Linked DNA regions of Tribolium castaneum. The protein of the gene in region 1 interacts with the protein of each later gene in a biochemical or structural test. Links are inferred from orthologs where the notes say so. Each region holds a gene or a part of one and is shown in the gene's direction. Other genes may lie near its edges.

Region 1 (4,193 bases):
GATGTCTTCTTCTAATATGAGGTTTAAACGAAACATCCTCTATTATTTTACTTTCACGCGAATTATATTTTTCTCTAGTGAATGAATATGTTTTTAGTGTCCTTTTATGTAAATTAAGTCACTTATGTTTCAATTATTTTATTTGGTATTTTGTAAATTGTAAATGGTTAAATCACTTATTTATTTTAAATTTTTATTTGAGCTTTCAAAAATATAAATTTCCAAGTAATGTCTAAGGATTTTAGGCAACAAAACCTAGGAAATACTGAGCAAAGTTTGAATAAGCTTTAGGACCGAATTAAAAGTGAGGAAACAAAAAGGCACTAAATTTAAAGCATGAACAAAAAAATTATGTTTTATTTTCAACCACCTCATAATCGCCAACTGTACTTTTAAGCCACGCTATCCACGTCTCATCAACTATTTTACTGAAAGTAATTTCTTTAAAAATCTCGCTACGACCAGTTTCAATAAACCCGCAACTTTTGAACATGTGGATGCTAACATCATTATCGTCTGAAATTTTTACAACAAATTCTTTTACACCGAGTGTTTCAATTCCGTAGAGAAACATGAGTAGCATGGCTTCAGAACCGCATTTCCTACCTCTAGCCCATTGTTCTGCAATCATAATTTCAGCCTCTGCACAAATCCTGTCGTCAGCGTTTGCAAAAAACAGATTTGTGTCGCCAATCATTGACTCTTAAAACAGTGCATTTATTTCGTCGTGCTTTTTGTCTAGACTAACTAATTTACCAATTTCGTTTCCACAACTGTTGTATTTCTCTTTATCAAGAATTATGAATGTACATTCTGAAAAAATGAACTAGAAAATTGCAAAGTAAAGTGTGCCAATTTACTGTCTTCGTCCATCATCCAGGACTTTTGCATGTCGTATTCCTCCTCTAAAGTAAGGGGCTCCGAAGCCGTCAGCTTTTGGAGTTCTTCAGATTGCATCCAACTGTGATACCTGAAAATTGTTATTAAAATGACGAAACAACGCTATTTTCACCTACTTTGAGACATGTTCGGCTTTGTAAGGCACTAAAATTGTCCGGCAGCCGATAATTTGTGTGTTTTTGTTTATTAACATTTTTAGATTATGTAAGGTTATGTCTTGATGTTTGTAGCCGATTAACTTTGGTACCGAATCACTCTAATCTGTGACCGAATACCGAAAAATTAAATATTAATTTAAATATTTTGACTGTTGTAGATAAATTAAATAATGGTGCTTCATTTTTAAATGGAAAAATATAATGTTTTGGTAGGCTGTTTAAACATATTTCTATAGAATAAGATAATACAGAATTCAGTGATTGACTTTGTATTTCGACCACAGAATATTCGGCTGCAAGTCAATTCGACCGCGCGCCATGTAATGTTTGCAATGATGTTTTGAGTGCATTTTACGAGTTTTACGTGAAAATAAAGTGATATTAAGTTAAAATGGGGCGCCGGTCGATTAATACCACTAAGAGTGGTAAATACATGAATCCCACCGACCAAGCCAGTAAGACGATGTTTGGGTTTGAGGTTAGGTCACTCAAAATTTTGCCAATTTTCAGGAAAAGAAGCCCGGAAACAGGAATTAAAAAAGAATAAAAAGCAGAGACAGATGGTACGGGCCGCTGTTTTGAAAGGCAAAGACCCGCAACAGATTTTAGAAGAAATGGAAAAAATTGATCAGATGGGTACAGTTCTTGTAATGGCTTGAATAACACGGAAGATTGACTGTTTTTGTGTTTTTAGAGTATAATGTTTATCAACCGTCGCCCTTAAATGAGAAAGTTTTAAAAGACAAGAGAAAAAAGTTAAGGGATACGTTAGATCGAGTTCTTAGTATGTATGTAAGTGCTGAAGACAGGGATTTTAATTGGATGGTGTCGAATCGTTGTTTTTTTCAGTATAAAGACGATCCTGATAAGTGGGCCGATTTGAAACGAAGACAAGCCGATTATGAACATAAAAGGAACCAATTAGTCGCATTTTATGAGTCTGTTAAGAGTGCACAGCAAGTCCAAGTTGATGAAATTCCTCTGCCACAACTACCCCAACAACCAAGTAATGCCCCAGCGCAAATCCCGCTACCTTCGGAAAGAAAACAAGAGCACACGATTTATTCCATAGCCACCGCGCTAAAGTTGCAAGCACTGGTATGTATTTTTTAAAGCATTGGCAACTTAATAAAAACAACTTTGTATTAAATGAAAGTTTTACACTTCTATTTTATAACTACTATTTTTTTACTTTATTTTTCTTTTACTGTTTTTATTCCTTCGAGCATTTATGCAAACATTCTTTTTATCTATTCCATCGTGGGCACTATATTTTGTCGATCTGGCGATCTTTTACTTATTTTACTTCTTTCAAATGTATCTGAGCTTCCTAATTCGCTTTTCCTCATGTATCTTCACTTTTTATGCTTATAAAATTTTCTGAGCACTCTGACTCTTATTCGACACTCGATTTTTACGCACTAAAGTTTTCTTAACTCCAAAATAAAGCATTTGCAAAAACATTCAAAATTATTTTTACAACCTACTAAGGTAGCAAAAAAATTGAAAAAATTCGAGAAGTCGTTAAAGTAAAATTGCTATTTTTTTTGTAAAATTAGGGCCAGCCTGTGCGTGAGCCCCCCGGGTGCCCCCCCGGCCCGCCACCAGACATCAACGACGACGGCGAAGTGGAAGACTTCACTCGAACCGACGACGAAAAGGACGAAACAACTGAAGACTCCGACACAGACCCCTCCTCCAAGCCCACCTCCCTCCAACAGAAAATGGTGGCTTTATCTGGCCAAAACGTCGACGACTTCATGAAAGAAATGGAAGTCGTCCAGAAAAAACTCGAAACAAAAGAAGACGAAACCCGGGCTAAAACCCACCCTGAACCACTCATCCCTCCCGGAACGGACCTCCCACAGCCCCCCACTCCACTCCTATTCCCCAATCCTGGACTTCGATTGCCTCCAGGCCCGCCCCCCGGCCGTCCCCTTCTCCCCCCAGCGCCACCACCGGGATTACCACCGCCGCCTAGGATGCCGCTGCGTATCCCACCAGCGCCACCTAGGATGATTCGCTTGCATGGGCCCCCGCCTACGCTCCCAGGGGGCCCCAATTTGCCCTTAGGGACCCCGAATGTGTTGTCGGCAGCCCCCCAACTCATAAATCGGGTCGAGTCGACCAAACAGGGGGCGACGATTTCGGCGAAGCCCCAAATTCGCAACTTGAGTGCTGATGTGACGAGGTTTGTGCCCTCGGCGTTGAGGGTTAAAAGGGAGGATAAAAAACACAAGCCAAATACGAGGACGTTGCACGAGTTGAAGCAGAAAGAGTACCATTTGCATCAAAATACGCACCCAGAGCAACATACGAAAGATGACGCCTATAAGCAGTTTATGGAAGAAATGCAGACGCTATTGTAGTTTCTTTTATTAAAAAAATTACAGTTTCCTGTAATGAAAATTTTTACTTAGACTGGTAAAAAAAATGTAGGTAGTAAGCTGTGACGTGCAATCTGAATTGTCAAATTGACAGTTGTACACCGCAGCCTTGATTTTGGAAAAATCGTGCGTGATCGTTGTTTTCCTCACACTTGCTTGCGTCATGATTTTTATCGCAATTGTTTAATTGCCTAATAAACCGCATTGACGTCACTTGAAATAAAAGCTCAATTCGCGCGGTGTATATCTTATATTTGGCAAATGGATAATACAAACAATGGTACCTATCATTGTAAATATTTACTTATAATTAAAAAATTAAGGAGCAAGAGTCAAACAAACAACTCGAACACTGTGCAAAATAACATAATATTTGGGATTGTAACCACTAAAAATAAAACCGTTCGTTTCCCGTGATATAAGAAAATGAAGCGCCTGATCCTCGCTCCCGTTCGGAATATAAAATAAATATAAACGAAAGAAACACAAATTGATACATTTGAGCCAGTGTAGAAAATAAGTGGCAGTGAAATATATTTGTAACTATTGTGATCGAACTAAAACAATGCTTTTATTTATGTATCAATTGTTTTCCTTTTCTTGTACAGATCATAAAATTAAAGATAACGAGACATTATTGCTTGATAACTGCAGAAATGAAGAAAATTGAACAAAACAATTATTGAGATCATATTTTTTGTAAAGAGAGAGAGCAACAGTAGTACAGCATTGTTCAAAACAATTTATT
Region 2 (2,977 bases), on another chromosome or scaffold:
ACCTTCATCATGTGTATTATCTGGATCGGGTCCTTGTCGTACGTTGTGGCTTGGATGATTACAATTATCGGTAAAATTCAAAAAGAATTAAACTAGGATTAAAGTATGATTTATTTTTACAGGGGACACTCTAAAAATCCCAGATTCCGTCATGGGAATCACTTTTTTGGCCGCCGGAACCAGCATTCCCGAGGCCGTTTCGAGCGTAATTGTGGCCAAGCAGGGTAAGTAAAGGCCAGTTTTACCACCGGGATAATTTTACCATTTCAAGGTCACGGCTCGATGGGCATAAGCAACTCGATCGGGTCCAACACCTTCGACATTTTGCTTTGTTTGGGCCTTCCTTGGTTCATCAAAGCCACGTTTATGCCGACAATTGCAGGAAAACATTGGGTCGGTGTTCAGTTTTTAATTATTAATTTTACAAGATTGGTTTTAGGTGGGGATAAATTCGGCGGGAATTGAGTACAGCGCCATCTCCCTTTTGTCGTCGCTGCTCTTGCTATACCTGGTGTTTGCCGTAAATAAATTCCGACTAGATAAGAGAGTGGGTCGGATATGTTTGTTGATGTACGCCATTTTTCTTATCTTGGCCAGTCTCATCGAGCTTAATGCCTTCTTCAGAGTCAATTTACCGACTTGTGGGCGGTGAAGTTGATCAGCGCTCTTCTTGTTTTCATAGATTTTATTTTATTACAGTTTTAATGGGAAAATTGTGATTTCTTTCTGCAATATTCTTGGTTCACCATCATGTCAGATCTCAAACAATTCTGTTGTAGAGTAAGGAAGGAAATTTGCATCGCACCTCATTCTAGTTTAAGTTATTGCGTAATCTGTCCTGTACATAGAACAATTTAAACCATCCTAACAACAGTAGGGTTATTTTTTAAAAACTATTTTATTTTGTAGCTGACATTATGTACATTATGTTGCATTACAGACAGTCCTACTATTAATTTTGTAATTTATGTTCACTAGATACAAGTATGATCAAAGTTTCATTTGTTTTTTATTTTACCAAGCCCCTCCCTAAAAGATCCCAAGTACGGACCAACAATTTTTAGAATCATAAATAATATAATAGTAAATCAGTTGATCAAACTTTTAGTTTTCGTCGTATTTTTTTTACTTCTTAAGTCTTTAATTGTTTTTAATTTTTTTTCACGATGAATAATCGTAAAAAAAGCCCGAGTAGCACACATGTCTTTGAAAAAAGTCAGCGATAACGTAGTACTTTCATTATAAAAAGAAAATAAAAATTGTCTACGTTTTTTGACAAACATAAAGTTTTTAAATAAATACAGGGTGATTTTTTATTTCTTTATATTAAATAAAGGAGGGCTTAAAACATCCAGTTATCATGTGTGGTGACGTAACAAATACTGTTTTTTTTTTAAACAAAAAATTGTAGCCCGGGGCAGCAATGGACCTAAATACGCCACTGTGCTAAGGATAAAAAATCCGAATCCGGCCCTGTGCTGTCACCCTCGACAGTTGAGGTTATGTAACATTGAGGCTATATTTACCAAACAAATCGCTAAAATGCCTCTCCCTTCGGCTCTAGCGGCCCGTTTGGCAAAAAGGGGGCTGTTGGCTGGTAAGCCACTATTAAAACCCTACCCCCAACCAATTTAACAAATTTTAGGCAAAAAATCGGACGATCAGACGAAAAAACGCAACTTCAAAGGTTGGTCCACCTGCCCCAACAAAAGCAACATTTTCCACGAATGCACCTACTGGTGTGAGACGCACTGGAAGGGTGTTCTGACCCCCGACCCCCGTTACATGCGAAACATGCAAAAACTCCTCTTCAAATACCCCTTGCCCAACAGTTGGACTGAGGTCTTTGACAAGGGATTGTAGGTTTTGTGGGCCAAAAGTTGGAAATTTATGACAAAAAATGTGTGTTACAGGGGGCGTTACTACTACTGGAACATGGAAAATGACTTGGTTTCGTGGCTGCCTCCAAGACACCCTAAATCAGTGAAGACCTTAAGTGCGGCGAAACTTCGCGAGAAACGGGTTCTAGCCGCGGAAAATGACAAGTCTGATAAGGGATCGGACGATAATGACTCGGATGATGATGACAGGGGTCATAAACATTCGGATCGGAGGGACAGGGACCGGGATAGGGATGACAGGAGGCACAGGAAGGAGGACAGACACGGGAGGAAGAAACGAAGGGAGGATATCATAGACCCCATGGACCCAGCGGCTTATTCGGACATCCCCCAAGGGACGTGGAGTGACGGCCTGGAGAGCAATAAAACAAGGGCTGATAATACGGCTTCTGGAGTCCTCTACCAGCAAAGACCTTACCCCGCTCCTGGAGAAGTCTTAGCTAATAATAATAAAGAAAAAAGCAAGAAAAAATAATTGTGTATTAGTTTATTATCAATATATCGCTAAAACCATTTTATTGTTTTATTTGACAAGTCCTACACGTCAGAATATTTTATTCAAAAAATGGAGTCACACCTTATTTGTGAGCCCCATAGTAGCAACTTGATGCGCGTTTTGCGCCTCATTTTAAACAAACCGGAGGCTCCAGTACGTCCCCAAGGCCACAAAACCGCCCCCTTAATTCCCTACTTGTAGTTCCTCCCGTCTGAATATTTAAACGAAATGAAAATGAGTCTGGACGAACGCCTTGAAAGTCTCTCAAAAACCCGCAAAAACAGGCTTTTGCCCCAATCTAGCCCCTTTCTAGCAACCCCCGATTTAATAATCTTCCAGAATTTCCAGCTTGGGAAAAGCTACAGTGCTAACTTAACCCTCCAAAATAAAGAACAAGTACAAACGTAACACTCAGTTTAAAATAACACAGGATTTAGTCTTCCAGATGCGTGCAAATTCGCTTTGAACCCACCATTCATTTCAAACTCTCGCACCCTTCGAAAGTCGTCTGGACCAAAGTAGCTCCCGGCATGACCTACCAATTAACAATCACGTTCGTTTCTGATGAATTCAAAGACTA

The links.
Region 2: the proteins of WW domain-binding protein 11 (region 1) and PQBP1 form a complex in vitro, tested with the Homo sapiens proteins (2 studies listed by BioGRID and IntAct, with this or other methods). The link is inferred for Tribolium castaneum from reciprocal best matches to the Homo sapiens genes WBP11 and PQBP1.

What each region holds. Positions count from the first base shown.
Region 1 is NC_087394.1:25,616,458-25,620,650, reverse strand, and holds WW domain-binding protein 11, read left to right. Parts: upstream 1-1,342; 5' UTR 1,343-1,449; coding exon 1,450-1,513; intron 1,514-1,568; coding exon 1,569-1,694; intron 1,695-1,752; coding exon 1,753-1,850; intron 1,851-1,907; coding exon 1,908-2,156; intron 2,157-2,617; coding exon 2,618-3,427; 3' UTR 3,428-3,467; downstream 3,468-4,193. Other genes in the region: Mnat9 (N-acetyltransferase 9-like protein), read right to left, coding at 350-702, 757-813, 861-970, 1,017-1,093. UniProt on the Homo sapiens protein: Activates pre-mRNA splicing. May inhibit PP1 phosphatase activity.
Region 2 is NC_087398.1:4,422,970-4,425,946, reverse strand, and holds PQBP1 (polyglutamine-binding protein 1), read left to right. Parts: upstream 1-1,440; 5' UTR 1,441-1,542; coding exon 1,543-1,597; intron 1,598-1,645; coding exon 1,646-1,859; intron 1,860-1,913; coding exon 1,914-2,376; 3' UTR 2,377-2,415; downstream 2,416-2,977. Other genes in the region: zyd (sodium/potassium/calcium exchanger 3), read left to right, coding at 1-70, 123-224, 272-393, 440-652; hydrocephalus-inducing protein-like, read left to right, coding at 2,467-2,550, 2,599-2,793, 2,835-2,977. UniProt on the Homo sapiens protein: Intrinsically disordered protein that acts as a scaffold, and which is involved in different processes, such as pre-mRNA splicing, transcription regulation, innate immunity and neuron development.